3 linked regions of the Callithrix jacchus genome follow. The protein of the gene in region 1 binds, or shares a complex with, the protein of each later gene. Links are inferred from orthologs where the notes say so. Each region holds a gene or a part of one and is shown on either strand. Other genes may lie near its edges.

Region 1 (4,133 bases):
GAGATAATTTATACAAACACGTCAGCACATAGTACACAGAAAGTGCTCAATAAGCGGTTGCCATCATCAATACCATTATTATGATGGATCTATCCTCCTCGAATTAAGGATGGTCATCAGAACCCCAGGGAAGATTTCTGCATTGTCAAAAAGCTGGTGGGCAAGGATTGCCCCACCCTAACCCCAACCTAGGGCATAGGTCCGTGGGGAAGGCACAGGGCAGCATGGGGTGGGGATTGGTTTTCTACTGACTCACTCACTTGCTTCTTCCACCATCATTCACAGCCACCCCCTTCCCAATGCTTATTCATTCACTCGCACCATTCCCTGCCTGCTAGGATGGTGCCACTCCTGAGTTACAATCCTGGCACCAGGTAGCCTCAGTTTGAATCCCGGCCACACCCTGTGATCTTGGGAAAGGTCTTCAGTCCCTCTACGTCCCATATTTCCTCATCTGTAAAATGGGAATAGTAACTGGTACCCACCTCAGAGATTTGTTGTGATCTTTGAGTGAGATAAACTATACTGAGTGCTTAGTATACAGTCGGTGATATATAAATGCCAGCTATTTGTCAGTGTTTTTTGAGACCCTGGCTTTGGCTCTAGGCCACCTGAGTTCCAGTCTCAGTTCTGCCATGTATTGACTCTTTGATCCTGGATAAGTCACTTAACTGCTCCGTGCCTTAGTTTCCCCACTTTGTATTCCTCCCCATTCACCTGCTTTATCTCCCTCCATTCCTGCTACTTAACTTGTTTCCTCTCTGCCACCCCTCACCAGCATGTCAGACATACCAAACAAGGGATTTTTGTGTGCTTGGCACACAGTAGATGCACAATAAATGTTGAAGGACTGAACTAATTTGGGTTTGAGCCACAGGGAGCTTGGGGGATGTGGGTGATTGGATAGATTCTGGAGACTCTAGGGGACTAGGCTGGGGTGAATGCTGTCTCTAAGCTCTCCACTGGGGCGGCTTGGAAGGAATAGTGACTGACGTGGAGATGGGGGAGGGGGCTGGCCTGGGCAAGGCCCAGGGGGAGGGAGAGGAGGAGGGTGGGAGAGGAGGAGGGTGTATCTCCTTTCTCCGGCCCGCCCCTTGGCTTCTGCACTGATGGTGGGTGGATGAGTAATGCATCCAGGAAGCCTGGAGGCCTGTGGTTTCCGCACCCGCTGCCACCCCCGCCCCTAGCGTGGACATTTATCCTCTAGCGCTCAGGCCCTGCCGCCATCGCCGCAGATCCAGCACCCAGAGAGACACCAGAGGTAAGCAAGGCCCCAGGGTGGCCCAGCAGGGACTGGGGCTGGCTTGCAGCTTGGGTGCTGGCCACCAGGCCTGTGCACTCCAGTGCCAAATGCCTGTCTGCTCAGCTTGGCCTGCCGGTACCAGGACCCTGGGCTAGTCAAGGGGGAAGAGGGTCCGAGGCTGAAACCGCTTTCCCAGCCCCGAGGCTCCGAACTCCCTAGAACACCTGACATTCATCCCCAACTCCCGTGACCCCCCCCTGAATATCACAAATGCTTTCCAAATCTCCCACCTCCGCCGCAAACTCCTTCATCCCGTAACTTCATCGCCCCCTAAATCCCCATCGCAAATCCCTGCAGCTCCCTAAACTCCCCCAGCTCCCAAACTCCCAACCATTTTTTTTTTTTAAACACGGAGTCTCACTCTGTCACTCAGGCTGGAGTGCAGCGGCGGAATCTCGGCTCACTGCAACCTCCTCCACCTCCTGGGTTCAAGCGATTCTCCTGCCTCAGTCTCCTGAGTAGCTGGGACTACGGGCGCCTGCCACCATGCCCGGCTGATTTTTTGTATTTTTAGTAGAGACCGGATTTCACCGTGTTAGCCAGGATGGTCTCGATCTCCTAACCTCATGATTTGCCCACCTCGGCCTCCCAAAGTGCTGGGATTACAGGCGTGAGCCACTGCGCCCAGCCCCAAACTTCTTTTGCCCTCAAATTCCTCAAGTATCCCCATTGCTTTAAGCCCCCAAATTCCCCCAGCCCCTTCAACCTCCAAACTCCCCCAGCTCCCTAAACCCCTAACCTCCTCCAAATTCTTAACCTCCCTAAATCCCCCAGCCCCCATATCTCTTAATATACACAACCCCTAAGCTCTCCACCTCCTCGAAACTCATTCATCCCCCCAATCCCAAATTCCTCACTCCCAAACTCCTCAACCTCCAGACTTCCCCAATCCCCTCATTCCTCAAAATTCCTGAGCCCCCTCCTCCCCCAAGTGCCACAACTCCATAATCCCGCAACTCACTCAGTCCCTCAATAACTTAAATTCTCCCAACTCTCTAAATCCTAAATTCCTCTGGGCTCCCCAATCCCCTGAAAATCCCCAAATTCCCCAACACTTCAAGACCAAATCCAGTCCCCTAATCCCCTCCATAGGTTGCCCCAGAGCGGGATGGGGTGGATGACCTGCCCAGGTCTGCAGATCAGCTGGCCTGGGGCCTGCCTGACATCCCCCTTTCCCGCAGAACCAACTATGGCCCCCTTTGCACCCCTGGCTTCCGGCATCCTGTTGTTGCTGTGGCTGATAGCCCCCAGCAGGGCCTGCACCTGTGTCCAACCCCACCCACAGACGGCCTTCTGCAATTCTGACCTTGGTGAGTTCTCATCCCACTCAGCCCACACACTCTGCCTTGGTTTCCCCTCTCAGTCTGGTGGGGCTCACAATGTCACTTACCTCTGGATCGATTCCACTTGCCCCTGCACTTCCTCTGCTTTAGCCACACTGGCATCCTCACACTTCCTTGTGTACTCCGGGCCCAAGCCTACCACAGGACCTTCTTGCTGGCTGCTCCCTCTGCCTGGTACACTTTCCCCCCAGGTATCCACATGGGTGGCTGCCTCAAACGTCACCTTCTCAGGATAGCCTTCCCTGGCCATCCTGTTTAAAATTTTAACCCCTGCCCCTTAGTACTCCTGATCTCCTGTTAAAGAGAAAAATATTCAGTGATACTCATTATAGCACACAGTAAGGAAGACCATATTCAGGACTATGGTGATGGATATAGGAACCACTGCCATGGGATCTTGCAGTCAGAGGGGAGAGATTGGGCTCAACACTGAATATAGCATGGGCCAGTGGGAATGTACAGCCAAGGACCAGTGTGAGGGTCTGTGGGTGGAAATCACTGAAAGGAAACATCAGGGGTAATGGATTCTGGCAAAACCGACCTAACAGGATTCTTGCTGAAGGCAGGCCAGAAGAATCACACATCACCTGGGGGATGGTGGAAGATGAAGAACCTGATCAGGTAGCAAGGATGATCAGACGTTGAGGATGATCAGATAGAAGGATGACCAGAGACTGAGGAGGATCAGATATGGAGGACAGGGGTTCTTGCTAAACTAATCCCAGGGCTGTTTGCTAAAATTAAATTTTACAAGGAAGTGCACAGATGGGCCTAGGAGAAGGTTCAGGAGCCTGAGTAAAGTTTGGTCAAGCAAAGAATCTTTGTCATCCCCTTACCCAGGTGTGTAATTCCCCATTATCGTTACTATCTTCTAACATTCCCATATACTTCTTTTGTTTGTTCTTAGCCTGTCTCCTCCTGGCTAGAATGTGAACTCCACAAAGGAAGGGATCTCTGTGTTTTGTTCACTGCTGTGTCCCTAACACCCAGAACAATGTCTGGGACACAGTGGGCACTCCGAAATATTTGTGGAGTAAATGAACAAATGAATATATGAAAATGGCTTAAGCAGTGCCTGGCAAAGAGAGACATTCAACATACAGACGAAACAATGAACAAATGTGTGTAAATCACTTAGCGTGCTGTCTGGCATCCAATAAACCCTCTTTATGTACACACTTTGCTGGTATTATGAGATGATGATCTTATTTTTTTGGCTCATGCAGTCCATTTGACTCATATTTCCCTCCTCTCCTGCAGTCATCAAGGCCAAGTTCGTGGGGGCACCAGAAGTCAACCAGACCACCTTATACCAGCGTTATGAGATCAAGATGACCAAGGTACTCCCCCTGCCCCTTTCCCAGCATTTTCTAACCTCTTCCTCCTGGTCAAAACAGAAGCTTCTGGCCACTGGTTGGTGCGAGAAAGTTGGCTGTGATCTCGGGATGCTATATGACTTCAGGGAAGAACGTGGAATGGGAGGATTA
Region 2 (3,325 bases), on another chromosome or scaffold:
ACCTGTATAATGTACACGTATTTAAAAAATAAGTGACTATTGTTTCTGATTTCTTAAATAGGGACCAATTTATTCCTTGTTGCTGCTCATGAACTTGGCCACACCCTGGGTCTCTTTCACTCAGACAACACTGAAGCTTTGATGTACCCGGTCTACAACCCGCTCACAGACCTGACTCGGTTCCACCTGTCTCAAGATGATGTGAACGGCATTCAGTCCCTCTACGGTAAGTGACGCTGGGAAAATTAGCCATTGTAGCTTTGCAATGATGGTCTTTAGAAAAGCTTTCAAATGCTACAGAAAGTATTGATGGTTTAGCGTAAAGCACTTTGAGAATGTCTGGAAAGCATACAAATTGGCATATATTGAAACGTATCACATTTCTCCTGATGTTCCCCTTAGGACCTCACCCTGGTTCCCCTGAGAAACCTCCGGTGCCCAAGGAGACTGTCCCTCCAGAAACTGAGGCACCAGCCACATGCGATCCTGCTTTGTCCTTCGATGCCATCAGCACTCTGAGAGGAGAAATCCTATTCTTTAAAGACAGGTCAGACTGAAAACTCACATTTTCCTCTCTATCATTTTACTCTACAAAGCTTGGAAAGGAAAACAAACAGAAACGTCTGAGCTTGAAATCATTTAGATACGGTACTGCCTTTTCCCACGTTTTCCTGAAACTGTCAGGTTCATTTTTGAAGGCTCAGGATGATCTGGTTCTTGTCTCCTAATTGCTATTTCCAAATGCTTTAAGCCACGGTTGCTTTTCAAAAGGCAGGAGTAGATATTTAGAATAATAATTTTGTTTTTACTTCCTTCAAAAATGACATGAGGATCAACATTACATTTAATCAATTAATTTACTTACTGATGAGTCAATACGCACATGACAAACATTCAAACAGCACGAACCAGAAGAAAACTAACAATTTTAGTTCCTGGTTCTCCCTGCATTCACCCACAGTCAAGACTTTTTGTGCATCCCTCCAGAACCATTCTCTGCATATATAAGAACGCATTTATACAGCACGTACGCATACATACACACTGCCACCTATTGAAGAGGGTATACAGCACGTGTGCATACATGCACATTGCCTAGCTTATTGAAGAGGGTATACAGCACGTACGCATACATACACACTGCCCCCTTTTGAAGAGGGTATACAGCACGCATGCATACATATACACACTGCCACCTATTGAAGAGGGTATACAGCACGTATGCATACATACACACTGCCCCTTATTGAAGAGGGTATACAGCACGCATGCATACATGCACATTGCCTAGCTTATTGAAGAGGGTATACAGCACGTACGCATACATACACACTGCCACCTATTGAAGAGGGTATACAGCACGTGTGCATACATGCACACTGCCTAGCTTATTGAAGAGGGTATACAGCACGTACTCATACATACACACTGCCCCTTATAGAAGAGGGTATACAGCACGTGTGCATACATGCACACTGCCTAGCTTATTGAAGAGGGTATACAGCACGTACTCATACATACACACTGCCCCTTATAGAAGAGGGTATACAGCACGTATGCATACATGCACACTGCCTAGCTTATTGAAGAGGGTATACAGCACGTACGCATACATACACACTGCCCCTTATAGAAGAGGGTATACAGCACGTGTGCATACATACACACTGCGTAGCTTATTGAAGAGGGTATACAGCACGTATGCATACATACACACTGCCCCTTATTGAAGAGGGTATACAGCACGTATGCATACATACACACTGCCCCTTATTGAAGAGGGTATACAGCACGTGTGCATACATGCACACTGCATAGCTTATTGAAGAGGGTATACAGCACGTGTGCATACATGCACACTGCATAGCTTATTGAAGAGGGTATACAGCACGTATGCATACATGCACACTGCATAGCTTATTGAAGAGGGTATACAGCACGTATGCATACATACACACTGCCCCTTATTGAAGAGGGTATACAGCACGTATGCATACATACACACTGCCCCTTATTGAAGAGGGTATACAGCACGTATGCATACATACACACTGCCCCTTATTGAAGAGGGTATACAGCACGTGTGCATACATACACACTGCCTAGCTTTTTGAACAGCATATATACTGTTTGGCACACATTGCAGGTAGTTAAGCTCATCCTGGGATAATTCATTTGCATGAAGAACAACCTTTCTTTCATAGAAGACATTTCTCTGGAACCTATGACAGGAGACTCACTGCAGTCTTCTAAAGAAAAAGGAAAGAAATTTTCTAATGGCAATATACCTGATTTCTATCTGTCATCCAGCCTAGAAGATGAGAAAATGGGGGAAGTCGGGTGAGGCAAGACGGTGAGGAAAATATTCTAAAGGTAAAAGGCGGTATTTCCATTTACATTCCTTTTTACATATGTTTTAGACACTTTTGGCGCAAATCCCTCAGGAAGCTTGAACCTGAATTGCATTTGATCTCGTCGTTTTGGCCGTCTCTTCCTTCGGGCCTGGATGCCGCATATGAAGTTACCAGCAAGGATCTTGTTTTCATTTTTAAAGGTAATTATTCTATCGTCATTTCTTTAACTTGCCAGAATAAGCAAGAAACTGAACAACACTTTACTTTTCTCTACTGCATCGGGTTCTGGTTAGTACAGCAGTCACAGGTAATGAAGTGATAACCAGGGCTGATACTATTGTACTTACATTTTATAAAAACAAGAAAGGAAGATCAACTACCCAGAGTTGTAAATGTTCTCATTTGACCTCGGTTCATTCATTCAGTCTGCAAATTTTTGCTAAAAGCCTGCTATGAGCTGGTGACTAAATCTAAAATTTGGGCTACTTCTTCACCATGATAATCAAAGATGCTATAGCGTATTTCTAAAGCTAAAAGGCTTAACTGTTATAATTCGATATGACCCTGAATTATTGATATTTAACAGGAAATCAGTTCTGGGCCATCAGAGGAAATGAGGTTCAAGCTGGATACCCAAGAGGCATCCACACCCTGGGTTTCCCTCCAACAGTAAGGAAAATTGATGCAGCCATTTCTGATAAGGAAAAGAAGAAAACCTACTTCTTTGTAGAGGACAAATACTGGAGGTGAGATGCAAGAGAAATGACTTTGTATGAAGCCTAATTAGGGAAATTATTTTTTTTTCTAAGGAAATCCCCCACCCCAACCTTAGGCCTGCTTCTCTCTCAGTAGGAAGGATGGGACTTCAGACAACTGTGGGAAAGTTCTTACTTTAAAACACAGAAGCCCTATAAGCTCTCCTGCTCTGAGTCCCAAGTGCAGTTGCTGGTGCTTCCCTTGGTGATGTCACC
Region 3 (3,652 bases), on another chromosome or scaffold:
TGCTTTCCTATTTCCCCATTACCAGGAATTACATTTTACCTATTTTGAGCATAGGGGAGGACAACTATTTTATTTACAAATGACTAATGTAGACAATTGCAGACTGCAACAGAAGCCCTGACAAGGCTCCCCTGGGGCGGGATAACAGGATGGGATAGAATAGAATGACAACCAGCCATTAGCCTGGCTCACACGGATTGCATTTTTATACAAACCTAGTGACCTGAGAGATAATGGCTTCTGTGTGAAGGAGTATCCTTTGATTTTATGTGCAGCCATGAAACAGAGACTTGGAAGTTATTCAGGAAAAAAAAATTTTTAATCTACTTTGCATAAGTTGGAAAGTGAGGATTATCAGAAATTTGGAGTAAAAAAGATATCAGACTGAATGATTTAAAAACCGTTTTGATTCTGTACTTCATTTTGAAATGATAAAAATGCCTGGAGATTTCCCTGTTGACAATGAAATGAGGGTCTTCTTACCAAATGCCTGGAATACAGCATCAACCTTAGGCTTAACACCTGGAAAGTCATCAGCTGTTAGTCTAGGGAAGCCTTGCTCCATGGACTGGCTATTTTCATCAAATCTAAATAAGATGAAAGAAATACAGTTCGATGTTGTATAGTAGTACCGTTACACACAATAGTATAATGTGATATTAATTTTCCAGTGTGGAGTCATAGACAAACTTTTTAAGTTGTATAAAAAGGTGTTAAACACTTTATAGAGCTGCAAGAATAGGTTACTTCCCTGGACTTACAAGTTTAACACATAAAACAACATTTTCCCAGAAACAGGAATATGACATTTTACAGAAGTTCATATGTCTAAGGTAAATTTTCTAAGCCTGGACACACAGAACCCAAATTTCTATGTGTCTACCGCAAATACATAAAGACTGTGTTCACATAATATGCGAAATTAATTAAATCATTTAGATAAAAATAAACCTCTGGCTTTCAGTCACACTAGGACCCTGTAGACCTTGTCTCCAAAGCTTGCCGTACCTGGGCGCCCTATGACAGCCACATGGTGACTGGCACAAATGCCTCCGGACCTCAGCTAGCCTTTCCTGGTGGCTTTTGATGTGTGAGTAAACGGCTCAGTGATCAGCACTCTGAGGGCCATTCGTAGCCGGGAAGTAGAACAACAATAAGCTATCTTCTGCATAATCATAACTTTTGAAGTTAGAGAAAGAGGGTGGGAGTAGGGGGATATCCTTAAAATAATTTTCTTTTTCTTTTTTTTTTTTTTGAGACAGAGTTTCGCTCTTGTTACCCAGGCTGGAGTGCAATGGCGCGATCTCGGCTCACCGCAACCTCCGCCCCCTGGGTTCAGGCAATTCTCCCGCCTCAGCCTCCAGAGTAGCTGGGATTACAGGCACGCGCCACCATGCCCAGCTAATTTTTTGTGTTTTTAATAGAGACGGGGTTTCACCATGTTGACCAGGATGGTCTCGATCTCTTGACCTCGTGATCCACCCACCTCGGCCTCCCAAAGTGCTGGGATTACAGGCGTGAGCCACCGCGCCCGGCCAATTTTCTTAATCAGACTTCGAACAAAGTCCTTTCTCTTGCATCTCACCTCCAATATTTCTCCTCTACGAAGAAGTACGTTTTCTTCTTTTCCTTATCAGAAACAGCTGCGTCGATTTTCTTTACGGCTGGAGGAAAACCCAGGGTGTGGATGCCTCTTGGATAACCTGCTTGAACCTCATTTCCTCTGATGGCCCAGAGCTCATTTCCTGTTGAAAAAATAAACCCAAGAAATTTTACATGAAGCCATTGATTTTAAAAATGATTCTAGAGCATTTTTGTGGTAAAGAGGATGTCTTGTTTTTAATTCCAACCTAATAATGCTCAGTTCACAGCCAGTCTTTAACAAATATTCCCTAAATGAGTGAGTGAATGAAAGAATGAATAAATCAGTAGATAACTCTGATTAACTGCCCTTTCTGTGGCTTATATATTTGTATCTGTAAGTTATAGTTTATGTATAGGCCAGTTTTGATTATTTCTTATAATTTGCTGATGACTTTTTAACCTGAATTTCTCACCTAGACCTCTCTCTCTCTCTCTCAAGTTCCATACCAATAGATCAGTTGCTTATTGGACACTTCCTTTTAGATATCATAGCCACCAATTCCAACCTGTGCTTCTGAATATTATCAGGATTCATTCATATTCCAGCGAGTTAGAATAAAATCCCATCCATCTCTCTCCCTTTACTTTGTGACATCATTCTCCTCGATCCCGAGCCTGAATCTCTTGTTCACACGACTGCCAGATTCGCTAATCTAAAATGTCCATCTGTTGTTCATCTCTCTTGCTTTGTATCATCTGAGCAGTTCCAGGTATGCTCTTATGTGGTAAAAACAATTTCTTCTTTCTTAAAGACCTTTATACTTTCTATACACCCAGCCCGTCTCTGCACAGCAAGAGAGAACTTCAAGACCCATCCTAAACATCTCCTCCTCTGAGGGATCTTTGCTGAGCCCTGGGTATGACTCAGGTGCTCCCACGGCACCTTTCCTTCTCTCTATCCTAGCACTTGTCATACGTAGGCTGCCTATGGTTTCATCTCTGCTGCCCCTTCTAGAACATAAACCCTCTTCAGTGACCTCCACTAATGAGTGTGGTGTCTGACACCGCAAGTGGTAAATAAATATGGATAAATTACTGGATAACAATACTTTTGAGTTATGCAATCCTTTACAATTCCTGCTGCAATTTCACATTCATTTAATCTTCACAAAAGTGACATTGTCAGAAATAAATATTTAAAAAATCTCCATACAGCTTGACATTTAAAAATATTCCAATATCACCTATGAGCCCAGGGAAAAAATTAAAATGGGATATTGAAAAATTAAAAGTGAATAAAATGAAAATACTGCATATCAAAATTTGCTGGATAAAAAGAAGAAATTGTTATTTGTAGGTATAAATGCTTATATTAGAAAAGGAAAAAGGTTACAAGTTAATGAAGTAAGTATCAAACAAGCTATAAAAATAATAATAGGGTTAATTCAAAGTAAGCAAACATTAAGGCAACATAAGGATATGAACAGAAATCAAAATATAATATAGAGAATAAATAAAGCCAAAAGTCAGTCCTTTGAAAAGGTCACTAAAATTTTTATGCATATTGTGAGATTGATGAAGAACAAAAGAGAAAGGCAAAAGGATTCAATATTAGGAATTACAGCAATAATTCAAATTACAACAAAATAATTTTCAAAAAACTTCATGCTGATTGATTTGAAAACAGGCAAAACTGGCACATTTTTAGAAAAACATGTTAATGAAACTGACTCAAGAAGTAATAGAAATGCAAATAACATATTGCCAGTAAAACAAACGGAAAAAGTAGTTTAAAAATCTGATAAAGAAGCTGCCATACCCGAATAGCTCTATTGGTTAATTTATTGCTCCCTGCACTGATACCACATCTTACCTTTTAAAGCTTTATTACATAGAGCTTTTTTCCTCACCTAATAAGATGGGTTCACCAGGAGTATCCTGGCTATTCTTGGTCTTTGCTCTGCCGTATAAATTGTGAAACTAATATGTCAAGTTACATGAAAAAACCTTCGGCATTTGAAATGAAAATGTCTTGTATCTATAGATAAATTGACATTTTTACTATATT

Evidence for each region.
Region 2: the proteins of TIMP1 (region 1) and stromelysin-1 are in contact, whole or in part, in a crystal structure (PDB 1UEA), measured with the Homo sapiens proteins. The link is inferred for Callithrix jacchus from reciprocal best matches to the Homo sapiens genes TIMP1 and MMP3. Residues at the interface, in NP_003245.1 of Homo sapiens: Cys24, Thr25, Cys26, Val27, Pro28, Pro29, Val52, Thr56, Leu57, Tyr58, Pro87, Ala88, Met89, Glu90, Ser91, Val92, Cys93, Thr121, Cys122, Leu156, Ser157, Pro159, Gln173, Leu174, Gly177, Glu179; in NP_002413.1 of Homo sapiens: Phe100, Thr102, Phe103, Phe171, Tyr172, Gly178, Asn179, Val180, Leu181, Ala182, His183, Ala184, Tyr185, Ala186, Thr207, Thr208, Gly209, Thr210, Val215, His218, Glu219, His222, Phe227, His228, Tyr237, Pro238, Leu239, Tyr240, His241, Ser242.
Region 3: the proteins of TIMP1 (region 1) and stromelysin-2 are in contact, whole or in part, in a crystal structure (PDB 3V96), measured with the Homo sapiens proteins. The link is inferred for Callithrix jacchus from reciprocal best matches to the Homo sapiens genes TIMP1 and MMP10. Residues at the interface, in NP_003245.1 of Homo sapiens: Cys24, Thr25, Cys26, Val27, Pro28, Asn37, Leu57, Tyr58, Pro87, Met89, Glu90, Ser91, Val92, Cys93, Arg98, Thr121, Cys122, Cys155, Leu156, Ser157, Ile158, Gln173, Leu174, Gly177, Ser178, Glu179, Lys180; in NP_002416.1 of Homo sapiens: Phe170, Tyr171, Gly177, His178, Ser179, Leu180, Ala181, His182, Ala183, Tyr184, Pro185, Tyr191, Asp205, Ala206, Ser207, Gly208, Val214, His217, Glu218, His221, Phe226, His227, Thr231, Tyr236, Pro237, Leu238, Tyr239, Asn240, Phe242, Thr243.

What each region holds. Positions count from the first base shown.
Region 1 is NC_133524.1:48,547,440-48,551,572, forward strand, and holds the start of TIMP1 (metalloproteinase inhibitor 1), read left to right. Parts: upstream 1-1,222; 5' UTR 1,223-1,261; intron 1,262-2,484; 5' UTR 2,485-2,492; coding exon 2,493-2,613; intron 2,614-3,906; coding exon 3,907-3,986; intron 3,987-4,133. UniProt on the Homo sapiens protein: Metalloproteinase inhibitor that functions by forming one to one complexes with target metalloproteinases, such as collagenases, and irreversibly inactivates them by binding to their catalytic zinc cofactor.
Region 2 is NC_133511.1:2,878,784-2,882,108, reverse strand, and holds part of stromelysin-1, read left to right. Parts: intron 1-61; coding exon 62-226; intron 227-402; coding exon 403-547; intron 548-2,420; coding exon 2,421-2,554; intron 2,555-2,940; coding exon 2,941-3,100; intron 3,101-3,325. UniProt on the Homo sapiens protein: Metalloproteinase with a rather broad substrate specificity that can degrade fibronectin, laminin, gelatins of type I, III, IV, and V; collagens III, IV, X, and IX, and cartilage proteoglycans.
Region 3 is NC_133511.1:2,809,993-2,813,644, forward strand, and holds part of stromelysin-2, read right to left. Parts: intron 1,746-3,652; coding exon 1,586-1,745; intron 588-1,585; coding exon 484-587; intron 1-483. UniProt on the Homo sapiens protein: Can degrade fibronectin, gelatins of type I, III, IV, and V; weakly collagens III, IV, and V. Activates procollagenase.